2 linked regions of the Drosophila melanogaster genome follow. The protein of the gene in region 1 interacts with the protein of each later gene in a pairwise test. Each region holds a gene or a part of one and is shown in the gene's direction. Other genes may lie near its edges.

Region 1 (6,044 bases):
TGCATATTTCTCAATTGGCTTGAGTTGTCGTCGCTGTTATCGCTTTTATCTGTCAGCTTATCGCAGCCATCATGAGATTTGGCGTAAATTGTCACAGCCACTCCAGGCCAGCCTTCCTTCACCAGTGCATTTCCTTTACTTTGGATGCCTTTGGCAGAGTTACAGAGAAATAAATAAGTAATATTACTAATATGCATACGAATCAATGCATAGTTATTAAATATATCGAACAAATATCTGCAGTATCTTATTTGTAGTTTAACTATCAAAGTCCCATATAACAATAGTTTTAGTTTGGGAATTGATCTAGGTACAAATTAAAAATATTTTTATTATAATACTAAAAACCATTTAATTAATAGAATATTACTTTAGTTTGTCTTAATTCAACTACAAATTTGTTCTCAGCGTATGACAGCTGAAAACAGAAAGATAAACGCGTTTCTGGCTGTCGAAACTCTTATTCCATTGCTGATAGCCTGCTCACGTGCAGTGTCTTCGGCTCGCAACACTCGCACACCCGCAACACTCGCACAGTCGCCGGCACACACACACACTGGCACACGAAGGGGAGCGATTGGATTTCCGGCGGAGATGAGAGCAAGCTACGTGGGCGGGGGGAGTGGCAGGTGGAGTCTGGGAGTGCCAGGAGCTGTATTTGGCCGCCAGCATTTTCCGATGTTGCCGCTTACTTTGTAAGTGTGCGTGTGTGTGCGTTTGTGTGTGTGTCTGGGCGGCTGACGTCATTGAGCTTTTTATTGATTTTCATTTTAACCAAAAAAAAAAAAGAAAAAACAAGAAGAAAACATACTTGGGCTAGGACGCAGGGCAGGAAGGCCAACAGATGTCATCCAAGAAAAGTCGAAATGCGCAATTAAAGAGAGAGAGAGAGAGACTGCAAAGGGGGCTTTCTCGAAGGAAGTTTTTGACAAGAATTTCTTGGGGCCAGCGAATGCTGTGTTGTAAGGTAATTACAAGGAAGAGATGCTTTACAATTTCTAAGAGTTAACTTTAGTTGATTTCAAGCTGCACGTGAATAAAAGCACTTCAAATACAAGTGAAAGCCCACAAACGTATTATGGTGTAATTTAATTTATTGTTTGCAAGCTCAACTGCGTAATCAGGCTGTTTATATAAGTGTACACATATAAACCTGATGTATTTTGATTTTTCTATTATTGTTTGTCAAACAATCGTTATGGCTGATTTTGTTATTTTTGTTGCCTGGTGAAAGCTATGGAAATTAGGTCTATTTGCACAGGCAATTAAAGACTGCCTGGTTTTGGATGAGCACAAATTTAAATTTAAGTTGAATTATAACATATTTTAAAAAAAAATTATAATTACTTAAGGCATTGGTTATCATAACAAAATATTGTGCTACATCACAAACAAAATGCATATTTGTTCGAAAGGGTGTTTTTAAAAAACTTCTACCTCTGTCATATAAATTTAATTAAAAAAAAGTATGTGATTTAATTGAAATTAAAAAAAAATTCTTTAAATTTATTTTACAACAATGATTTTAATACGTATTTATTTTAATAGAAAAATATACATATTTTTGAAAATCTACATCTACAACTAAAGCGACACCTGCCGGCGCGCCACTACAATTCAATTGTGCGGCGAATTAGAAACTTCGCTGTATTAGCCAAGGCAACCACCGGAAATAGTCATAAATTTAGCCGATTCAGCTACCATTGTACCAAAGTACGCCTTTCGTCTTCTCTAAAAACCTGCGCAGAATTAATACGCTTTCTATCTTTCGCTCTTCTACGGGATATGTCAAAGTGACAAGACCATTAAGGCAGACAATGTGAAAGCTATATAAGCGACAAGAGAGCGAAAAACAAACAGATAAAGATAAAGCCACCCCCAAAAAGCCGCCCCTTGCCGTAAAACACGGACCCCCACCAAATGGAAGACAGCCAAACAACCCCCGAAAAAGCAAGGAAAAAATTCAGGAAAAATACCTGAATGAGATTATGATGGGCCTTGAACGAAATGCAAGGGCCAGGGAAAATTGAGAATTTTATTTCAGGCGGGGGGTTAATATTAAGGAGATGCACCACCCACAACAAGCACTTAATAACAAATGTGTGCGTGTGTGTGGGCGCTCTCGCAGGACTTCCGTTCGCTCTTTTCTACGCTCTCTTGGATGCTTTTTGGATCTGCGCGCAGCAATCTCAACGAGATGGGGCGAAAATCTCTAATAAGGATGCCCGATGATGAAAAATTCATGGCCTGGCATCGCACGCATCCTGCGCTGGCTCCTGAGTAAACGAAAACACTCCGACTCAGTCACACGCAGCGAACACAGAGGCCAGCGATATATATAGTGAAAACCCCGAAAAATATAGCCAAATTGAGACCAATATCTGAAATTGTGCGATAAATAAAACGCTGCATACCCCGCAGGGCGCAGCCAACTTATTCCGAAGCCAAATCGAGAAATTCTTCGAAACGCGAGTGCCACCAAAAATTTATTGTTTCGAATTCGCAGCCAGTGATTGTATAATTTCCATTGCTTTGCTATTTTTACGGGTGTGGGCCGTCCAACGGCAGCGGCAAAGAGGATATATCTATCTACATATATCTTCCAGGATATACGGATTAACCCAATCTGCGCCAGAGATAATTACCGAAAATCGACAAATTCCCGGGCATAAAAACTTAATTGACTTGAATAAATAATTTCCAACCCGAGTTGTTGTTGTTTGTTCGCCTACGGTTTTTTTCGGTGAAAGCGAATGCGGGCCCAAAGCGGAATCGGAAAAAGTTACTGAAATACAACGGCAGGAAAAAAAAACGAATACATAGAGAAACTGCCGCTGCCGTTGCCGCCTGTGAAAGCAAAGAGAAGGGGGTGGAGAAGGAGCGTGGGCAAAAAGAGAGCGAGAGGAAGAAAGCGCGGAGGAGGTCGCGGAGTTGGAGAAAGGGGGCTCGAGGAGTAAGAGAAAGCAGCCATTACTGCGAAAGAGAGCCAGAGTCGGAAGAGAAAGTCCAAGAGACAACATCGCAATTTTGTGGAAGACATTCACAGTGGATGGAAAATTTATAAACAAAAGTTAAGCCCTTAAGAGAATGCTGACAAAATAAAAAAAAAACGCACGATAAATATATTTTAGAAATGTAACTTAAAAGAAAAGACTCATATCAACACATATCATTCTATAGTCTATAGAAAATATTAAATAACTAAATATACAACAACAAAAAAAGCTGAGACAAGCAGCTAAATAATTCCAGCAATTACCTAAAAACCAAAACGATATTTTATTGTCTTAAAAGAATAGAAACCAATGCGATAACCATACATATCATGTAAATCGTTTAATGCCAAAAGGTGAAATATGAAAAGTATATTAAATTAGCACATTTAAAAGAAATGTAATTCAAGAAATTAAAAAAATCTACGAATGGAAACGTAAACATATCATGTAAAACGCCTAAAAAGCTTGCTGAATCCCTAATCAAGCTTTTTTATCTTATCAACAAAATAAAAAACAAAACAAATGAACTAGCCTAAGGAGAGTTGTGCAAATTATCGCATACATATCAAAGCTCTTGCAAAGAGCAAATATAAATATTAAATTTACAATTATCTAAGATCTAGTTACCTTAGAAAATCCAAAAGAACAGTAATTTTTGTTAGAAGTTTTACATTAGTTGTCTCGAATATAACAAGAGAGAGATATATACATACAACAATATTGTCACATATCATTGAGGAAGCCTCAGCAAAAGTCTAAAACTATAACGACTAGAAAACATATCAATTAAATTAGACTGCGTGTTTATGAATGCTACGCGAAAATATTAATTACTTTATCAAGCGGACCAATTGCAAATGACGAGAAGACTTCATTGAATTCCAGACGACGGATTGAAAAATAACTAAAGTTCTTAAAAGGTAAGTTTTCACAATAATGAAACCATTAACTGAAAATGGTGGGCTTCTGTGGAATAAACGTAAAGGATTGTGTCATCTGAAACGATATATTAATATTAATTAGAAACAGAATATAACATTTTGCTATGATGTTTCCGTGCATTAGTCAACGGTAACGTTGTGGTGAAAATTGGCCTACACTAATTGACATTCTCTCTTTACGTCAAAGGGCTCTTAATTAGAAAATCAAATCCGAGAATGCTTTTGTGGTTTTGGCGAGCCGCCTCCCCACCAGATGTATTTCCATACGCCGAAAGCAATCATAAACTTTTAGCCCTAAGCGTGTGAGCTTAGGTAATCCACAAAACAGCCCAAAAATAAAACCGTTCGGGACCCCAACATTTTATGCGCCAATGGGTCTGGAGGGTATTCGTGTTTCGCTAAACCATAATGAGCCTGTCGAAGTGAAATTTGTTGCTGCAGCGCCTAGGATCATGCCACAAACATCTGCAAGCACCAACATACGGGACAAAATCAATAGGCGGCCATGTGTGTGTGTGCATGTGTGCGTGTGTAGGTAAACAGCTAGAAAAATCAACCGACACACACGCAAGAGGCGGTGGAAAAGCGAGTGTGTGTGGAAGGAGTGAGAGAGAGAGAGAGGGGATTTTCTCCTTCGTCTCCACGCGCGCTATTAAAATTTTCATTTTTATGATTATCGCTTGTGAAAATCCGCAACAATTGTGCCGGTTCACACGATGCAAAAGGGACTAAGCACACGACGCACAGGCAGGCAGCAGGACACCTACGATGATGAAGCCGCGAGCCAGGGAATACAGTGCGTATGCGTGTTATTTCTCCGCGACTGAGCAAATGTTTAACTTTGGGCATAAAATTAAATTTAATTTTCAATTATCGCGGCTGGCAACGGTTTGGTTTTGGCCTTGCAGGAACAACTGCACCCCACGGCGGAATAACGAAGCGATTAAAAAAAATGCTCCAACTGGCCGAGAACTGGAGTTTCAGTTGGCTCACCTTTTGGCCATTAGAGCTGTGGCCACTTTAAGGCCGCTCTCGCTGCAGCTGGCTCACTTTGGGGCATCAAAAATTCATCTTGCCGGCATCCAGAGCTCTCCATCAGCCAGCGGCCAGTAGCATCTGCTGACTTTTCGCCATTTCGCGCGCACTTTCCCATTTTCCCCGCACTCACTTTTTGCCATTTTCTTCTTGGCCTGGCCTTCCATCTCCACTGGCCAGTTCTGGCCGAATCCCCCTTGCGCTGCACACTTTCGGGCGCCAGCACCTAATGAGTGCAAAAATGAGCTTCGGGAAATGCTGAACGGCAGCAGCAACAAAGTGGCGCTGGGAACATGAAAGGACACTCTCCCAGTAGCCTTGGATATCATAATTACACTGAGCTCATCCTCAGTCAACTATGTAATAAATACGCCCTTTAAAGTGGCTTTTTATGAAAGGAGGTGTTAATGAAAGGGAGAAGCTCGCCATTTGTGCAGCAATTCATTTGGCTTAAAGTTCACATTCGTATGTATTAAATAAAAATATATTGGAGATTCAATAGCATTTCATATTTTACATGTAAGTTCTTCAACTTTCGTCTTAAAAACTCTGCAGCTACGAAAATGTAATGACCCAAATATGCAAGCTTTTTTATGTAGATTCATTCCAATGAAAATACTCAGTTTAAAGTTACTTTACTTCCGTTGCGAAATGCGTCGCCTTCTTTTGGCCAACTTAAAGTAGCCAGGGCAGGGCTTTTTTAGCCAACGTAATGCCAACGGAACTTTCCACCAAAGTGGGTGAAGGTAATTTTCCACGTAGTCGTGTCGACATTTCATGCAAATTGTTTTTTTTTTCTTTTTGTGCAGATTCTCAGGCTTGTTCTCGTTCTGTTGCGTGAGCTTATTTTCTTGATGTTTTCAGCGCTACACTTATTTAAAGTTTCGCAGGATGGAGTGCTGGATAGAGCGGCATTTAAGCGGTATTCATGAAGTCCTCAACATTTTGCTAAGCTCAAAACTTGAGTGAGTGCATGGTTTATGGCATTTCTGGGCGCTCACGCAGGTCGATTGCCAGCCAGGTGATGTCATCAGCTGGGCTGCAAAAAGCCAGTTGAGGGAGGTTGGGAGTT
Region 2 (4,865 bases), about 10 Mb from region 1:
GGTATTTGCGGCTTTTTATGTAATTCATGGTCATTCCCCATATGCATATGCCGGCAAATTTACTGCCTGGTCAAAAAAAAAAGTCCACAACTTATATTCACGGATTTTGGCAGAGACAAGCCTTCTCGAAAATTACGTAATTTATGCGATTTTTCATACAGTTTCCCACTGAGATGATGAAAGTTAAGCAAACATCAAAGTAGAAATAATCGTGAAAAAAATATTTTACCTGCAGCTATGAATTTTAATATACTGTTCATGTTTTTTATTTGTCCCAAAGAATACCTACTCATACCTACTTTTATTACACTTTTAAAAGTCGTACATTTAACATCAATTTTGAGAGTATAAATATATATTACCAATTATTCAAGTTAAAAAAAATGCTACTTCTTATTTCTCAGTGTATTTGAATGGCATTGCGTTTTATTTGTCATTTCCGGTTTGTGCCGGAAGTTAAAATTATTGAAATCAAACGGAAATGCATCGAAGCAAATGCGTAAAAAAGCGGGAGCCGAAAAATATGATTAACCCATTTAAAATTATGGCAAATATTTGAATTGATTCTCAGACCTTATTAAAAGTGTTATGTCATTAAATTTCTCATTTAACTTGTATGTATATTTATGTATATAAATGGAGTTAAGATTTCGAACCGCTAATAATTTAAAATACAATAATATTATTCACGTCTGCGCTTCAGTAGGTTAAGTCCCGACTCCGATAGAACAACGATCCATCAGCGTATATGTCTGTGAATATATATATGCTGTGCGCAGCCCATAAATAAATATATAAATTTAAATAAAGGCCGCCGCAATACCCGCACACTCACAGTTTGTTTGTCAATAAATCAGAATACTTATCAACGTCAAAGTACCGCAAAGAATGTGAGCAAACAATAAGAACTAAATGTGTGTGTGTTTCAGGAGGTCCATCAGTTTATTGGGAACTATTAAAGTTATTTATGAAAATAAATGGAATACCTACAACTTAAAAATAAAACCTTTCATTGAGCTACAAACATTTCTACACAGTGCCTAAATTATTCGACAAATGCGCCTCTATCTTGACTCCAGCAGGCATTGTGGGTGCCAATTTATGGGCAATCTGTGCTTATTTTCCCATTTCCCAGCCCAACATTGTTTTGGGCCTAGTCCCGAACTAAGTCCGCTAATTGCGCCGCCTTAGCCGGGCCATCTCGACCGGGTTTCGGGGAAGGCCCCGTCCATAATTATGCGAAATGTGCGCCATTTCTTCGGACTGTTGCCTGTTATTGTTTGCATTATTAGCTGACAATTTCGGTGGCACTGTGATGCCAAGTGGTGGGTCTGTGATTAGGCCGGCTCTTTGGGCTCTGGAAATTGTGGGATTAGCAGGCGCTTTGTCTGTGGCTAGAATCTTGGTCGGGCACCATCAGCCTGTCGCTCGATAAGCGCTCCAGGGCAACTCGAGTCCAAGAAGTTGATGTTTTTCTTGCATGATTACGACCATAAGCCAACGGCGTGTTATTGCAGGCCAAAGAAGTGGACGGTTTTCTTGGGAAACGCCCGAGTTCAAATCGATTGAACCAATGTTGCTCTTTAAATTGGTTTAATTTAGACATTTATTGTATCTCAACTTCCTGGAAGCAACTTGATTAAATTTCCTAATTTAAATAACCGGAACTATTGGACAGCAACTAATTCTGAAGAGCAAAGGCCATCTAAAATATCGCTTGATTTCTTAGCTATCACTAATGTGACTATCAATTCGAGGAAATGAAATTTTGTAGAATTAATAAAAGTCGTGTGTTATTAAGAAAATATTAAAACGTATTATATTTATTGTTTGAATACCAGAACGTTTCTTATTCCGAGCACATATTGTAGCGTTTGCCCCTCGCTTTTGGCATTTAAAATGGAGCAAATATTTTAGAATTCACCTGAATCGCATGCAAAAGCCTTTGTCAACATCAATGGTCCGCTGTGACCACGCTCTTTGTTGTAGTTTTTTGTGAATGCGCAATTGTTCAGTGTCGTCATGGCTGTGGCATGCACAAAGCGCCGATTGCAACGCCCATCCATCCACCCAGCAACCCCCCCCCCCCCCCACCTACTAAAGCTTTCAGGATATGCCATCCAACTACCAACTACCATACCGACCAAAACGCTTTTTTTTCGGCGCTGACATGTCCAGGCACTGGGGCAAAAACAAACCCATATATGTATATTCAATAGGCCGGGCGCTGCCAGAGTGTTTTCCGACGTTTTTCTGTAATTCGTTGTAGGTTTTTTCCAAGTTGGCTTTCGGCCGGTCCGAAAAAAGCGGCCTGCCTACATAAAGGCGCTAGCATATTAAAGGCTTAAACCCACTCAACGGCAGATGCCATATTGTTGAAATATATGCAGATACGTCGCGCATACGTCATGTGAAGATGGAATCCGGTTTGCAAAATGCATTCCATTCAAGCAGCGTTCTGTGATTTTTCATTGCAATCGGTTAAGCAATCGAATCCACCAGATTTATGTATTGTAAGCATATATTTCCATTCAAAGCTCAAAGCGATTTTCACCTTACCTGCACAACAAAAACACTACACTAGGGTGTGATCGTAGAGCTCGGTTTTTCAAATTTCGATCGAAGTGGGCCTGGATTATTGTGCAATGCTGTCGTCCTACTGTTATATCTCATTCAGTTTCCTGTTTCGCTCCGAATAACTTCCAAATTGAACAGTAAAAATTTGTAACAAAAATAAAGTATAATATTTTTCTAGAAATTTTATTTTGGAAAACTTAAGTCGAAAACATGTGCTCTCCGTGCGGTCCTTGTAGTCCATGCGATCCCTGCTGCGGTCCCTTCGAGTGCTCACCCAAGTGCTATAATGCCGCCCAATTGGAGGCCTTGCCACAATGTGCTCCACGTATTCCACCTCCCTTCCCCAAATGCATCACCGTGCAGCAACCACCACGCATGATCTGCAAGAAACGCGTGGTGTTCACGGAGAAGATTGTGCCGGAGCCAATGGTGGTTAACCGATGCAGACAGATTACCATTCCAAAGGTCGTTGATGCCACGCGGGTGATCAAGGTGCCCAAGCTGATTTGGGTGTCGCAGATGGTGCGAGAACCCAGAGTAATCTACTACCCCTCGATGATCCCCGATCCCTATGTGGTGTGCTATCCCAAGCGCGTCTGCGAACCCCGGGAGGTGTGTCAGTCGATCCTGTGCCAGCCGAAGCCACAGACCATCGACATTCCGCCGCCAAGGGAGTACTGCTGCTATCCAAATGGACCCATCAACTACAAGCCCAGTGCAGCGTGCCCACCCTGCCCCATTGGACCATGTGCTCCTGGAGGACCCTGCTGTCCGCTGCCCTGCTTCTCCACAAACCAGTATCCCGTTGCCGAGGGTAGGTGCGGACCCTGTGGACCTTGCGGTCCAGGATGCGGACCCTGCGGTCCGCGATGTGGTCCCTGCGGACCCGGCCCGTGCGGACCCTGTGGGCCGAGATGCGGTCCGGGTGGACCGTGCGCCGTGCCCAATTGCGGGCCCTGCGGCCTCACAATGCCGTCGGGTCCGTTTGTCCCGGCTCCGTGTGGACCCTGTGCTCCATGCGGGCCATGTGGACCGCTCGGCAATAGTCCTTGCGGTCCTTGCGGACCCTGCGGACCCTGTTCGCCCCCGTGTCCGTACGAGTCACCCGAGTGCGGCCCCTGCTACCCGTGCGCCCCAACTCCCTGGAATACCCACTGCGGCCCAGTTGGTCCTTGCGGTCCTCAAGTGCCTTGTGGACCCAGCGGCCCCTGTTAACATCATCGTTGTGCTGCCTGGATTGTTGTCAGAAACCGGTGCCCAGTGGACCAACTTGTCTATCACCAATACAGATTGCCATAGTGTATTCTCGCCGTTCTGCTCAAACACCACCAAAAAAGTCTACAGTTCTCTATACTTTGTCAACGCATGGACGACTCATTGGCTGTAAATAAAAATCGGATTTATGCATATATAAGGTTTTTTCAATTTCTTTTGACAGGTTATGCAATGGTTTCTATCCAGATAAAATTTTCTACCAAATTTTTGTCAAATAGTAGGCCTTGCCTCTGCTTGTCAATCTACCTATGTTCGTTACTCAGGCTTAGCTCGCATTTTGAATCCGGTTTCGCTTCGATACACTTCTAAATTTCTCTGATCAAATTTTATAAGAAACAAAAAACAAAAATTAACTTTTTACTCTTTCGGTTTATTCTAGTCGAAACTTAAAATGTGCTCTCCGTGCGGTCCTTGTAGTCCATGCGATCCCTGCTGCGGTCCCTTCGAGTGCTCACCCAAGTGCTACAATGCCGCCCAATTGGAGGCCTTGCCACAATGTGCTCCACGTATTCCACCACCCTTCCCCAAATGCATCACCGTGCAGCAACCACCACGCATGATCTGCAAGAAACGCGTTGTGTTCACGGAGAAGATTGTGCCGGAGCCAATGGTGGTTAACCGATGCAGGCAGATCACCATTCCAAAGGTCGTTGATGCCACGCGGGTGATCAAGGTGCCCAAGCTGATTTGGGTGTCGCAGATGGTGCGAGAACCCAGAGTAATCTACTACCCCTCGATGATCCCCGACCCCTATGTGGTGTGCTATCCCAAGCGCGTCTGCGAACCACGTGAGGTGTGTCAGTCGATCCTCTGCCAGCCGAAGCCCCAAACCATCGACATTCCGCCGCCGAGGGAGTACTGCTGCTATCCAAATGGACCCATCAACTACAAGCCCAGTGCAGCGTGCCCACCCTGCCCCATTGGACCATGTGCTCCTGGAGGACCCTGCTGTCCGCTGCCCTGCTTCTCCACAAACCAATACCCAGTGGCTGAGGGCAGATGCGGACCATGTG

What was found.
Region 2: the proteins of cpo (region 1) and Mst98Ca interact in a two-hybrid assay, tested with the Drosophila melanogaster proteins (one large-scale study listed by BioGRID).

What each region holds. Positions count from the first base shown.
Region 1 is NT_033777.3:17,917,554-17,923,597, forward strand, and holds the start of cpo (couch potato), read left to right. Parts: upstream 1-2,278; 5' UTR 2,279-3,916; intron 3,917-6,044. UniProt on the Drosophila melanogaster protein: May play a role in the development or function of the peripheral nervous system by regulating the processing of nervous system-specific transcripts.
Region 2 is NT_033777.3:28,288,672-28,293,536, forward strand, and holds Mst98Ca (Male-specific RNA 98Ca), read left to right. Parts: upstream 1-2,666; 5' UTR 2,667-2,787; coding exon 2,788-3,792; 3' UTR 3,793-3,985; downstream 3,986-4,865. Other genes in the region: Mst98Cb (Male-specific RNA 98Cb), read left to right, coding at 4,244-4,865.